2 linked regions of the Schizosaccharomyces pombe genome follow. The protein of the gene in region 2 interacts with the protein of the main gene of each other region in a biochemical or structural test. Each region holds a gene or a part of one and is shown on either strand. Other genes may lie near its edges.

The links. Proteins that work in one complex are often made in the same cells at the same time.
Region 1: of the proteins of fkh2 (region 2) and srb10, one has a biochemical effect on the other in vitro, tested with the Schizosaccharomyces pombe proteins (one study listed by BioGRID).

What each region holds. Positions count from the first base shown.
Region 1 is NC_003424.3:1,570,909-1,581,814, forward strand, and holds srb10 (mediator complex cyclin-dependent protein kinase subunit Srb10), read left to right. Parts: upstream 1-5,798; 5' UTR 5,799-5,945; coding exon 5,946-6,928; exon of another isoform or gene 6,929-6,993; coding exon 6,994-7,120; downstream 7,121-10,906. Other genes in the region: extracellular leucine-rich repeat domain, receptor L domain-like Ecm33, read right to left, coding at 1-352; SCF complex, Cul4-RING and CLRC ubiquitin ligase ligase E3 subunit Rbx1, read left to right, coding at 4,502-4,576, 4,765-4,914, 4,978-5,068, 5,113-5,120; protein Not11, read left to right, coding at 7,406-7,537, 7,584-7,748, 7,885-8,076, 8,135-8,632; ribosome biogenesis protein Tsr1, read right to left, coding at 8,848-10,906. UniProt on the Schizosaccharomyces pombe protein: Catalytic component of the Cdk8 module/Srb8-11 module which is a regulatory module of the Mediator complex that regulates basal RNA polymerase II transcription.
Region 2 is NC_003423.3:4,241,014-4,244,613, reverse strand, and holds the start of fkh2 (DNA-binding forkhead transcription factor Fkh2), read left to right. Parts: upstream 1-1,895; 5' UTR 1,896-1,951; coding exon 1,952-2,463; exon of another isoform or gene 2,464-2,755; coding exon 2,756-3,600. Other genes in the region: regulatory protein ntu1, read right to left, coding at 1-116, 224-254, 525-614. UniProt on the Schizosaccharomyces pombe protein: Required for promoter sequence element PCB-driven, M-phase-specific transcription. Acts as a transcriptional activator with a role in the regulation of mitosis. Binds, cooperatively with mcm1, the CLB cluster regulatory elements throughout the cell cycle.

The DNA of each region.
Region 1 (10,906 bases), on a different chromosome or scaffold from region 2:
TTCCAACCGAAGTGAGCTCAGGGGTAGCAAGGTTGTTCATGCGGATCATGTTGTTAACGTTAAAAGCACCAGAAACGTTTTTCAAAGAAGGGAAGGAAAGAGAGGTCAAATATTGACCATCAGAAACCACAACATCACCTTGAACGGACTCAATTCCATTAACAGTAAGGGTGGTGATGCCAGAGTTACCAGCATCAGAAATGTACAAATCACCATTCAATACAGTACAGCTGTTAAGCTCGTCAAGAGTACCTTGGGCGGAGATATTGTAAGGGCCGCTGGAGCAGTTGGAAGCAGCTTGTACGCGAGCTGCGGCGAAAAGAAGAGTGAGAGCGAATGATTTGAACAACATATTGACTTTAGACTATATAATGTAGAAATATGATTGGAAAAATATAACGAAAGATAGTTTTTAGGATGCAAAAAGGGAATATGAAGGTAAATTTGTTAAATCAAAAGAGAAAGAGGACAAATATGTAAAATGCGTTTATAAGGGGAAACGTAGTAATAATCAAAAAGACAGAGATTGACCACAAAAGATATGCAGAATAGCGGGTATTTATAAAAGGTATATGCTATATATTACGGGTAATATATATGATATGTTTTATAAATGAATGCGTGGGTAATGAATAAAGAAGTAAAAGAGTGTTTAAAACTCAAATGTAGTTCGCTGAGGATGAAGCGAGTTGCGGAAAAGACATCTATATATACCCGGAAAATGCAAAGAATTGTGACTTGTTAGATAAAAAGGGGGACAACGAGGTGCGCAATTTCGTTGCAATGTTTACTGTAAACAATGAGTAATTGTGTATTGCTGGTTGCTAGGCCACAACACCAACGAGGAGCTTGCGACCAAACTTTGAAGACCGTTTATTGGCTAAACTTGTACGTTTACGAGTAATTTGACTCTCGTTAAACACATTGGCATGACAACAAGGCGTTCGACTCTTTACAGATTGAGAATTGTAAACACTCAATGTAAACAATGCTGTATTTTCTGTCAAAACTTCATTTGTATTCCAGCTTTGGTTTTAAGGTTATTCATCGCATAAACATTTAAAGGGAGAGACACAAACCGCAGTGTTTGACCCTTAAAAAGTCACATTCACGGGCTTTTAAACGTGACATCACTTGTTTGTTTTAGTGAAAAATAACAGTCACCAGATCTCTGAAGAGGTAGGATTTTTTTATACTAGAAAAAAGCAGAAAATCATAAATATTATTTGGTATAGAAAATGCTTCTTCCAGCTATGCTAATCTTGTTTATTTTTCGCTCATATGCAACGGTATTTACGTTTCCGTAAATGGTTTCAGACATTTGTTTACTGACAATTACCGTTACCGCAGCAACGATCTGTCCATCTGCAGTGTAAACAGATTTATTTAGTCATGTAAACAAAGTATTTACCGTGCTGTAGAGAAGTAGAGGCGCAGTGGATATGCTTAGCAAGTTGAAGGAGAAAAGATTGCAAAGGTCATACCGGTATTCAACTGATTGACTAGACTGAACTGTACTGTACTTCAGAAGCATTTACCTGTTACTTTTTAACTTCTTGTAGTTTCGATGATTATTTTGGCCTTTGTGTATTTCATCTTTGTGTGACATCCAGTTATTACTTTAAAACTTAAGTAATTTATATTTCCCATTTTTGATGCACTGAGTGAGAAAAAAACTACTTGATTATTCAAATTTGTTCAATATTTTAAGAAATAGCAAACAACAGTCTACAAAATTATTTTGGCAATACAGTTTAATCAGAAATAATGTTGAAAGGCATAAATGATTTTTAAGTTGATTTTATGTTTATTTTTTTTGTGAATAAGCTATATTATCTTCCACTGTCTAGGATGATTTGCTTCAGAAAATTATTTAATCATTGTTGAAGGTTGAACAATTCTAGACTACTGTGCATGATTTAGGAATAGAATATGAATGTGGATATTTTAAATATTGATCTAGAATAAATGCCCTAATTGGAGAATATGTATTGTATTTAGAAGCTAGTACTCCAAGGTAATAAAATGTATGCTGAAACATAAAATGTTTTTTTGCTATACATGTGCACTGTAAGCTAGACTGTTGAATGTATATGAATATTAAGTCAGTAGAATGCTTGCATCATTTATTACACAAAGTTGAAATGATTAACTCCAGAGATTTCGGGTACTTGTTAAAAAGCATCTTAAGGTGATTAGTTCCGTCATGGTTTTTATAAATTCCTTTACCTTCTATCTCGAAGTAATCTTATAGGAGCGATTACACATCAACTCATATTAAAAATTTAACTTTGATTACTGTAACTTGCCTATTTTTTACATTCGTAGTGTAATCATAATTACCGTCCAAATATTCAAGTAAAAAGCGGCGTTGTAGTCTGATGGAGATGCCCGTTATACAAATTGAGTAAAGCACTCATTTAAGACTGTTTTGCTATTTGGAACCTTTTTATTTTTTTTTTATTTTTTTTATTTGTTCTCTTGTGTGACGTGAGTTAGTAGTTAATCGCTGCGATTATAAAAGAAATTGATTTTTAATACACAAAGTATATCTTTAATTTATCTGAGCCGCGCTTTTTTTTATTTATTTAAAATTTCGTATCCTTGCATACAGGCTATATTTATTTACTTATTCAATTTTATTTTGTTTGCTCTTTTGGCATTTGACGGGGATATATATTTTAGAGAATTGAGTATTTTTACAAAAAAAAAAAAGACAAAATTAATGACAGAGCGATGTAAATAAGTAAAAGTACATTAGCATTTTTTCCTCAAATTCAAGATCCGTAGGCTATGATCTCTTCATGTTGCAAAATGTTTGTAGACAGGCTCCAAACTTTTAAAAAACTACTTATTCCAAAACATGCTTGCCTCAACGAAGTATCGCTACCGTTCTCTTTCGTTTTACTAACAAGTTCAATTTGTTTCTTGTTTTTGTATTAGTCGATTTTTAATATGCACAGGCTTGCATAAAGATAGTTAATTATAAATTTCATTTGTTTGATTTTAAGCTTAGCATTTCATTCAGCTCGACTTCAAGCTGACAATCCCCAATGCAAATATCCTTGCGTCTCGTTAGGCAGGTTACATTTCCAATAGTTTGAACGTAGCTTCCGCGTTATTATACTTTGCCAGTTTTAGTGCATTGTATAGCTACACAGTATTTTGGTTTTAAACTTAGCGAGATATCTCAAAACCCCTTGGCATGCTCTTAGCACGGTACTTAGCTGTAGATCCTTTTAAAATTTGCTAACAGATGTAAACTTGAAAACCAGATTTTTCGGCTTAATATATTCCATCTATCATTTAAATCTCTTTGATGATAACTTTCAAAAATTGAAGGAAATCCGATGTTGACGATGAAATCACTGTAGATACGAATGTTTACTCAACGAAATTACCATACAATTTGATGCCGATCATTTTAAAGACATTTTTAGCAAAATATAAGCAGTCAAACTAGTAGAAATTTTTACAAAAAAAAGCCATATACGAGGTTTGTTTAGTACAAATGACTATACGATCGCAATAATATAGTAATCAAATGAGCCACAGGAGGCAGCAGCTGTGTATAATCGGAAATTAAAATCCTAGTAAAGATACACCCGATCTATAGAAATGATATTCTTGTGTTCATTATTTTTCAAGTTTTGTAAACTATTATTAATTTTGCATACTAGCAAAGACCATTTACAACAAATAGTGCAACCTACTTTTGAAAACTTTTGTAATCAGAAGACGAATATGCTGGACTAAAATAAACATTAACTGCATCTTGTTCTACGATTGTTATATTGAGATGGTTTATTTATTAATTGTATGGATAAAGCTTTTTTCAATCAGTCTTGAATTTCAGAGTCAATACAAGTTAAAAATAAATCAATTTTGGAATTAACTTCCCTTGTATATTTCACTTCCAAGGTATTTATATTTGGATGAAATACAATAATAAAAAATAGCTCTATTACTTCAGAAAAATTCGCTGAATGTGTTCAATTTGATATGCTAGAGAAGGTACAATATTATAGATAAATAGGGCTATTTACTAATTTTGGTTGAAACGTTTGTAGGAAACCGTCTTCAGTACTTCGATATTATATACAAAACTTATTCAATAGATGTCTAACGAGCACACATAATACAAATAATATCTAAGAAACTTGTATTGTCATCATGTAACATAGAATTAAAAGTTTACACATTTAAACAAACTGAGTAATTTAATGTAGCTAAATAGATATAGTGCTAAACACTCATGAAACAGCAGATGAATAATCATCCTTCATTTTTTGAGTACGCATTTTGCGATTGAAAGATCCATGATCCATTATTTATTATATTAAATACTTGTGTTTTAGCAAAATTTATTACATTACTCCAAAAATTATCTTATGTTTGAGTATTGCTTAGCGAAGCTGCAATTTTCAACCCCCTTTATCACACCGCTTAAACATCTCATCTTAAAACGAAGTAGCGGCTTTGCTCTATTTTACTCATCACAATGGAAGATGAAATGCAAATAGACAAGAAGGAGGTGGAAATTGAACAAAAACCTCCTCGATTTGAAATTAAAAAGGTTCGTCATTATTTTTATGATCATGTTCTTCATGTGTATCAAATTTGCCATAAAGCAAAGTAAACTGTGAAAATTAATACCCAAAGATATATTTGCTATTTTAAAATAAGCATACACTTAAGTACTAGTTTACTCTCTTTGCTTTTTTTATGAGTTCTTCTGATTCATATTGCTTACCTTCAATTTAGTGGAATGCTGTAGCATTATGGCAATGGGACATTGTTGTAGATAACTGTGCTATCTGCAGAAATCATATTATGGACTTATGTATTGAGTGTCAAGCTAACACCGATTCTGCTGCTGCTCAAGAGTGCACAGTGGCATGGGGAACTTGTAATGTAAGTTTTAATTCGATTTCTTTCGTATTCTTAGCTCAGGACTGTTTTTAACAAATACAAAAGCATGCATTTCACTTTCACTGCATCTCAAGATGGTTAAACACTAGGAATGTTTGTCCTTTGGACAATCGTGAATGGGAGTTCCAACGTTATGGTAGGGTATATTAAGACGAGCCTACTTTACTAACTTTATCTCAGGTCATTAATAACATTTATTAAGTACTTACTTTTTTGTTGGTAAAAATATTTCAATGGAGCAGAGCGTTTTATTAATGAAATGACATGAATCAATTAAAATTTCCTAAAATCATGACTACTTGTGGCTAGTTTAAGTTTCCATGTGACTTTGAATTGTTATTTATATTTATTTACTCCAATTACTCAGATAGTGGACGAATATATCAATTTATTTTATTGCTTGTCAAATAAAATTTCCTACAGACAGTTTTTAACTACACATCATATAAATTAAGACATTATATCACTACTTTGTATACACTTGAAGAATTAGAACATTACTTAAATCATCAAAAGAAATGGCATACTTCTAAAGTGCTATTGTTAAAATTGAATAGGCATACAGACATTATGCTGCATATCGCATGACAGAATGCGAATCATTGCTTTCGAGAAGAATGTCAGTGGTGAGATACAAAAGCTCAGTAGTGCACGGATTTTCTATACTTGCCAATCAATTCACAAATTCAGTTAACTTTTAAATAAGAACAAACAGCTTTATGAAAATTACCATCTGATGTTTAAAACCTTCAGTTTATCAGACTTGGTGTTTTCGTTAATAGTGGGTAGGCATAAAAAGATTCGTGGTACTTTGACTCTTTATTCGCCTAATACTAATGTTTCTGTCGCCTTCGTCACTTCCCACTATAGAGAGACCTACATTCATCTGACTTTTTAAGTGATACTAAAAAGTCGGATACTTTTTATATAAAGACTGTAAAAAGCATCCCTATGTGATTGAATGTGTATATATCCATCTCTTTAAAGGTTTGATAGGGTAGGGTCATTTCAGCATGAAAGACGGTTATAAAATTATTGGGTTTATCTCATCTGGAACTTATGGAAAGGTTTATAAAGCGGTTTCATCTAATTCGAATGATAAACGACTGTTTGCAATTAAAAAGTTCAAAGCTGAGTCAAAGCAAGTAAGCTCGAATGCTCAACAAACCGGCGTTTCTCAAAGTGCTATTCGTGAAATGATGCTGTGTAGAGAAATTCAGCATGAAAATATAGTTAGCTTGGTTCAAGTTTTACTCAAAGATGGCACAATTAGCATGGTTTTTGAATACGCCGAACACGATCTGTTGCAAATTATTCATTTCCATAGCCGATCTAGAACAAGACAAATTCCACCATCAATTTTAAAAAGTATTCTATGGCAGATCATTAATGGTGTAGCATACCTACATGAAAACTGGATTATGCATCGAGATTTGAAACCAGCAAACATAATGATTACAGCTACAGGCAAGGTAAAAATTGGGGACCTAGGGCTGGGAAGGCTCATTCGGGATCCCATATTACCATTTTATTCCAGCGATCGTGTAGTAGTTACTATTTGGTATCGTGCGCCAGAGCTACTTTTGGGAGCTCACGATTATACCCCAGCAATAGATGTTTGGGCAATTGGTTGTATTTATGGAGAAATGCTTGCTCTTTCTCCTCTTTTCAAAGGAGATGAAATAAAAATGGAAGATAAAAAAGTCGTTCCTTTTCAGAGTACTCAAATGCTACGCATAATGGAGTTACTAGGCACACCAACAGAAGAACGCTGGCCAGGTCTCAAAAATTATCCAGAGTACTATCAATTATCATCATTTGAAGTTCGTTACTGGAATAATTTGCTTCCTCAGTGGTATCAAACCGTAAAAAATCGGGATCCGCAAGGGTTAGATCTACTGATGAAAATGCTACAATACGATCCAAAATCACGCATAACTGCTAAGCAAGCTTTGGAACACGTTTTTTTTACTTCCGATAAATTATGGACCACTAGGTACGTGTTCTTCCTTTTCCTATTTATCATCGAAAGAAATAAGCTTTTACTAACTCACTTTTTAGCCCATTTTTAAATCAACCTATTCATTATCCAGAAAGGAGAATTTCAGAAGATGATTCCGAGGTTTCCTCCAAACGCGTACTATCTACTTCACTAAGGTCCGAAAGTAAACGTTTTAAAGGAAATTGATTGTTAATGCTTCCCTTAAGCTATTTAAAAGATTATCTGTAATTTTCAATTAAATATTTCGCCTTTTCTTGGACGTATATTTGATATTCTGTCTACGCAGGGCACCGTCGTTTTATTTAAGAATACCTAAAAAACTCACGATTATTTATTCATATTTTTGACCATTGAGATACTAAAATTTTTTTTCAACTATTCTAATATATGGTTCAAACCATACATTTTTGCTAGTACATCCACGTTGTGACTCATTATTCTTATTGTTTTAGAGGGAAGATTCCAACAGCCATGTTGGGTAAGGAATGGGAAAACACTAGCTTTGCAGAAATTGGTCTACTACATCAAGCGCCTAACGATAATGACTTAGAAAAATTTCAACATGCTCTAACGTTAATGAGTGAGGCTGATAACTCTAGCGATGTACTAACTTATGATTTTTTACTGGATTTTCTCTAACTTGCCATAGCTTTTAATACCACTTATTAGTGACTTTTTAATATGGTTTTATTATCAGAAAACACCTTTAAAATGGATTCCTTTTCTAGGTCACTTTTTTAATACCTGGCAATCTTGTAGTTTTCCTCCCCGCAGATATTTGCTAGCTAAAATACTTTCAGGGAGAATTTCAGAGGTATGTGTAAAGAGAAAAAGAAAGCAGTTTATTTTTTTTTGTTTCGATACGTCAATTTTCGAACGAAACTTTTGTGATTGAATTTTTTTTTTGCCATAACAAATGCAAGTTGTTTGTTGGTACTAACTATGCATAGTTGCTGAAAGTTTCTCCTTTTGAGCTTGCCGCTTCTGTAACTAGCCAGGATGTAGTCGAAGCTGATTCCCTAGTTGAAGAGAATGAGTTACAGGCTTGGCTAGAAAAACAAGAACTTGTACCGTCTTCCTCTAATTTTCTAAATTCTTTTTGGATTTCAGGGGGAGAGAGAGAGCTAACGGAAGAGGAACAGGTAAGATTATCCTTTTTTTTTCAATTTTCGAGGAATTGCTACTGACATTTCGCTTTAGAATTCTTTACTTCAAAGCAACACGACGTACACAAATTCTGATTTGCCTGCCTCCAAGCAGCTTGAATCTTTTATTTCGATGAACCTTTCTTATAGTAAAGTTTTTTTCCTTCATCTTCTACAGCACTCTGATTCCTCGTTTAACGATAAATTTCTCTTGCTTCTTGCTAATATTCCCGTTACAGTTTCAAATGTAGAAGTCTTACTTTATTTATTGCAACAAGAAGAAAGCCTTGCTCAATTTGATCTTAACGGCAAATCTTTTCTTTATCACATGCTTGTATCCTTGCATAACCAAGTTACCAATACATCACATTTAGAAAAGCAACGAATATCCACTGTTGCGACTTTATTTATATCCAAACTATTCGAAATACCTTCTTTATCTGAGTATTTATCGAGCACATTGTTTTTAGATCTTCAGGCCTTTTGCATCGTTGCTTTACCGCAATCAGCTAAGCTATTCCAAAAAGTAAAAGCATTAAAAAATAACCCTTGAGTTATTGAAAAGTTAGTATAACTCTATTATTTATTCGTATCTATTTAGAAAGCTTGAGTTACGATACTTCTAACATTAAATTTAACACACAAGTACTACATTTCCATAATATCCCAATATCCCAATTCTCTGCTAGAGTAAAATAATTAGAGTATTCCATTTTTTATGCCTAAACCCATTACCAAAAACTAAACTACTAATATTCACAAATTTTTTTATGAATCAATATCCGTAACCTTGAATAACTCGCAAGGTAAAGGATACATACGCTTATAAAGCGACATAGCTACAGTATCTTGTACTGTAATTTTACCATTAAAAGTTGCCTTGAAATAACCGTGGGTACCAAGTGGTTCCTTAATATAACCCGTTCGCCCTTGTTTAGTAAAAAGCTGAATAGGTTTGAACCAAATAACGTCTTCTGGATTAAAAAACATATATCTAATAGTGACCAATTTTTTGTGTACTTTGAAAGGATGACCTGTTAGAACAGCTCTTTTAGCAATGACAGAATTGGTATCACAATTTACATATGAGCCGGTAGCGGCAAGACGCAAAGAGTTATCCGATGACTTTTTGAACATTATTATAGGTACATTACCAAAGACGATAGGAGAAATAACAGATGCGATAACAGCTTGCTTAGGTGGAAGATATCTATGATATTTTTGTAAGTTGTTGGAAGCACCAGAAGCCGTGGGATCTGAATAAAGAGGTCGAACCATAAAACGGCGAGGTCCAATTTGAAGAAGAAGTTCTTCTTTGGATTCAATGGGCTCTTCATATTCAGAATGCTGCATTGCAGTAAATTGAGAAACAGTCAGTTTATTCTCATATTGTAGCAAAGAATAAAGCACTAAAAGATTCCAAGGCTTATTATAATACTCGAATATTTCAATCGGAACGTTCCTAAGTTCCACATAAACAGCCTTTCCAGGCTTAGCTTCACCAATAAAAGGCTGCTTTAAAAATTTATTCTTCAAATTCCGATAGTTTTCAAATTTAAACAACTGTCTCCATTCCCTTGGTTCATTAGGATCATACTCATCTGCATCCCATTGACTAGTATAAAGACTCCGTAGACCCCTATATTTTTTAAAGCGCTCCCTTGCTAATTCATTAGGTTGAAGCTCTACCTCATCGGGAAATTCAAGTTCTTCCTGTAATTCTTTTTGCTTCTTGCGGTATTCCTCGTATTGTCTAACTTCTTCTTCTTCCGATAAATCAACAAACATTTCCGATTTAGCATCATCGATTGTTTCTTCTTCGTCACTATCAATTTTCTCTTCAGCAACATGGTTAGAAATTTCTTGATTATCCTGATCTTCTATAATAACTTCAGTATCCTCAACATCACTATATTGATCGGATTCCTCATCTTCATCTGGAATCCAAGTAGCTTGGTACGTTGAGGTACCTTTTGGTACACGTTTCGCAACCGCAACTGGCTCTTCCTCATCGTCAAAATAGTAAAAATCATCCAGACGAACACCACGCGATGCTTCTTTTCCAACTTCAGAATCCATATCAGTATCCATATCATCTATTATAGGCCCCAAGGACTCTAATGAATCCTGTTCTTGAGTAGGACTACACAATTCCACTAACCCACCAGTCAAATTGGTATCTTCATCCATTGAAATCCCACGAGAATTTTGTATACCTTGAGGAGCTTCATAAATGCGATTGATAGCAAAGTCCCCGAAACCTTGGATATGTATTAAACGATTCGGGTCTAAACCCTTGCCACGCACAATTCCGCGAACTAAAAGATTTCCGTTACTATAAGAGATTTCTTGAGACAACAAGTAAGATCTTGAATCACGCCAATGTATTCCACGTGGATGTGATGTACACAATGCACGCATAACGTTCAAAGCATCCTGAGAAACATCCGCGGCAAACACACGTTCTTGGTCTGAGAAAAAAAAGTTCATAAAGCTCTGTAGCGACTTTTTAACTTCGTTCCGAGTCTTTAAACTATCCACCTCAGAAAGATCATGTACCATAGACAAAACACTGGAAATTCCTTGCCCTTGAGTTGTGCGAACAATGAGTTCGCCAAATTCATCAACTTCTTGGACAGCAGAAAGAACGAAAATAACATAATCCGAAACTTTACAAGCATCGATAAGAGAATAAAACTCCCGTTTAGGAAGCAGAAACAATAAATTCTGTTTAAACCGATCAATTGTTGTAGAATAACTAATCGAATCCTTGTCAAACTTGGGCAAACTAGCTTCAGGATCAATGCTACGCAGTAAATTGGTCAGA
Region 2 (3,600 bases):
ATTTGGATCGCTTTCTTCAGCCAGTCCCCTCAGATATTTCAATCGAAGCTCCAAAAATTCTATATACTTCTCAGGAGCATGCCGTAATCGCTTAAAAGGTTGACCATAAGTACATTCTTCAACAAAGTTAGAAAACTCCATCCAATTATAATAGAGGCTTGAAATAAATTTTAAAGCGACTAAACTTGAAGAAAATAATCTCATCTAAATTGTAGGCACTTACCATAGTTATATGCTATGCAATTCGAGCAAGGCTGAAAAAGTTAGTAAAGAACAGAAATTTATATTTATTTCTAATCGCTCATCCAAATTAATGCAAATAAGATAGAAAAAGAGCAATAAAAGCCAAAAAAATAATAAATTAACGACAAAGGTTATCCGCATGCTCTCTAGCTGAACTGAAATCAATCAAGCTACAATCAACTTCAGAGAAAGCGGTAACTGGGTGAAGTGAGTTCTCAGTTCCCAACTCAAATAATAAAATTATGCAAAACATAAATAGAGCAAAGAAATTGACATCTTACCCTTCTCTGATCACATTTGATCTTTCTCCTGTGACATTCATCACATGCTCTAGAAACACGCTGTCTACGAGATACATCGCCGGAAGACATTCAGCAGCCTATCAATAAACTATGTTGAAGCCTGCTAACTTCAAACTTGAGGGAGAACAGGTCTTTTAATTTGTATTTATCGAATCGTTGTTACCGGTTTTTACAACCGAAAGTTAACGCAAGTGAGCAAAAATGCAGTTTATCATTCAAAATTTAACGCTTTGAAACTAAAGGAATTTGGTGCTTTAGATAGGTAAATAAATAAATAAATGGTGATCGCTGCGAAGCGATTATGGATGATATACGCGACAGGTTAAACCTACGAGAGTGTGTGCCAGCGATCGTATACATCCGCTAAATAGTAATTACTCGTTACTTCACGTTAGCATACATGTGTAGGTGAAGCAATGAGATTATACCATGCTAAATGTTTTTGTTGCGGTATGTTAAATATCGTTATAAGCCTGACATCTTCACGTGTGAGTTCTCCAATGAGTCCTGAAGCTGGAACCATCAAGCCGTTTATTGACTATTTTCAATATTACTGAAGAAAAAAGTATGGGAAATAAAGATCATTCAAGATCAAGTTTGTCTGTTCATGTAAGCCACATATTATTTATTATAATATCAAAGTCTCTCCGTGCCTGAGTTATGTTCGGTAACTGTATATTGCATAATACTTTCTGTTGTGTACCACACATTATAGTGCGCTACGAACTCACCAAATAATATTACGTATCCTACAGAGACTTCGCGAATCGCGTAGTTAGTAAAAATATGGAAAATAACGTGAGTAAACAGTTGAGCGTTAATATTGCAGCCACACAAAATCGGTTGATTGAAAGCGAAATAATGATTCGGAATTTCCATAAAACACAATTAATACTCTTAGTGTATTCATGTAATAGCTTGTACAGTTCTCAAAATAAATCTTCAGTAGACACGTTTTAAATAATAGGGTAATTACTAGGATATGCACGCGACCGTTAGACGCCATTACATGTGCAAAAAACACTGAGTGCTGAAAAGCTAAAATTATTACAAGTCTTGCAGAGTTATGATTGTTTGAGTTTTTTTTTTTTATAAGTTAATCCTACGCCAATATATTAAGAGGATTTTTTTAACTGCTTAGTATTTAAAAAAGTATATCGAAGATCCGGTATCTTGATTGTTTACAAAAATATAAATAGCAACGATAACAAAGACGCATTGTTGACAAAAATAAAAAATGTACAAATATTTAGAAAAATGTATATTTTAATTTCTATGTATCTAAAATGATGGTCAATATTAGTTATACCGTGAAGCGCTGGCAACGGAAGGTAAACGAATGTTGACAACAACAAACGAGTGTAAATAAACACACACCAACAGCACAATTGCTGTAGAAAGGAAAAATGACTGTTCGCAGACTCGAAAGCAAGTCTGAGCATATATCAGATGACGAGGAGAGAAAAGAACAGTTAGATTACAAAAAGCAAATGGATGTAGACACAGATCGTAACATTGTATTGAATGGTCGCCTGGAATCCCAAATTGCGAAGTTGTCCGTTCCACCTCACGAAATGAGAGTGGTCGATGATTATTCGAACAGTAAAAATGCGGAAAGACACTCTGGAGAAATACAAGCTTATGCGAAATTCGCTGGAAGTACATGGACTTATTATGTTAAGAAAATTCGAATTATACTTGGTCGCGAACCAGCAAATCCTTCACCAAAGGGGAAAAATGAAGATTTAGAAGTAATTGATATGAATTTTGGTCCTTCTAAAGTTGTGAGTCGAAAACACGCTGTTGTGGAATATGATTTGGATGACCAAACATGGAATTGCTCAGTTTACGGTCGAAATGGCATTAAAGTAGATGGCAAGTTATTCAAGAATGGGGAAACAGTCAAGCTTACAAGTGGGTATGTTAAAAATCATTTACTAGAATAGTGTTGGTTCGTCGTGATTTGCGACAGGACGGAATATTGATGGTTTCAGCAGCGCATAATTTATGCTTTACTCTTTCATAAGTTCTATGGTTTTCTCGTGTTATTTGTCAATTTTAAACGAATGTTTGGTTATTTTATAAATGCGCGTTAAGGATTTGTCAAATTATCAAGAAAATAATTATTTCCGTCCTAGTTCAAATAAATGCAGGAAATTATGCCAATTATTTTTTTTTATTTCTTTTTCGTCTTACTAATTATCTACTAGATCTATACTCGAAGTAGCGGGTTTACAAATGATGTTCGTACTACCCAATGCAGCTGAGCAAAAGCAAACTGACGAAAGCACTATAAAGGAGGATGCTATAAAGTCTGAAATTTCCGCAGCCGTAAACGATGCTGCTGAATATGGTGATAATAAAAAACCACCATACAGTTATTCTGTTATGATTGCACAAGCAATTTTATCTTCTTCTGAATGCATGATGACTCTTTCTAACATATATTCATGGATTTCAACACATTACCCATATTATCGCACAACAAAAAGTGGATGGCAGAATTCTATCCGTCACAATTTATCTCTCAACAAAGCATTTCGAAAGGTTCCACGGAAGTCAGGTGAGCAGGGGAAGGGAATGAAGTGGTCGATTGTGCCTGAATTTCGCGAAGAGTTTATTGCAAAGACTAGAAAAACACCGCGTAAACGCTCGCCCTCCTCTCCTGTGCCATTATTAGCAAAAAAGAGAGAGGGTTCTCCATCATTACCAATTCCCATCCTTCCGAAAATGAAGGACACCTCTATTCCGGCGGCGGAGCCAGCCTCATCCACTACATCTGCTCGTGATCAAACTCCTTCAACTCCTAAAGATGTGGGCTCACCCTCGACTGCTGAAACCTCAGCAGAAGAAAAGCAAATGGAAACCTACAAAACGCCTACACATGCTGCATTATCTGATATTATTAGCACCCATGATTATGCTTTAGATGCTAATAGTGCTTCTCAAACAAAAAAGGCTGCATTTGGATCTCCTATTGGATCTTCTACATATCCAACGTCTTCTCCTGCACCTTTTTGGAAATATGTTGCAGTTCCCAATCCACACGATTGGC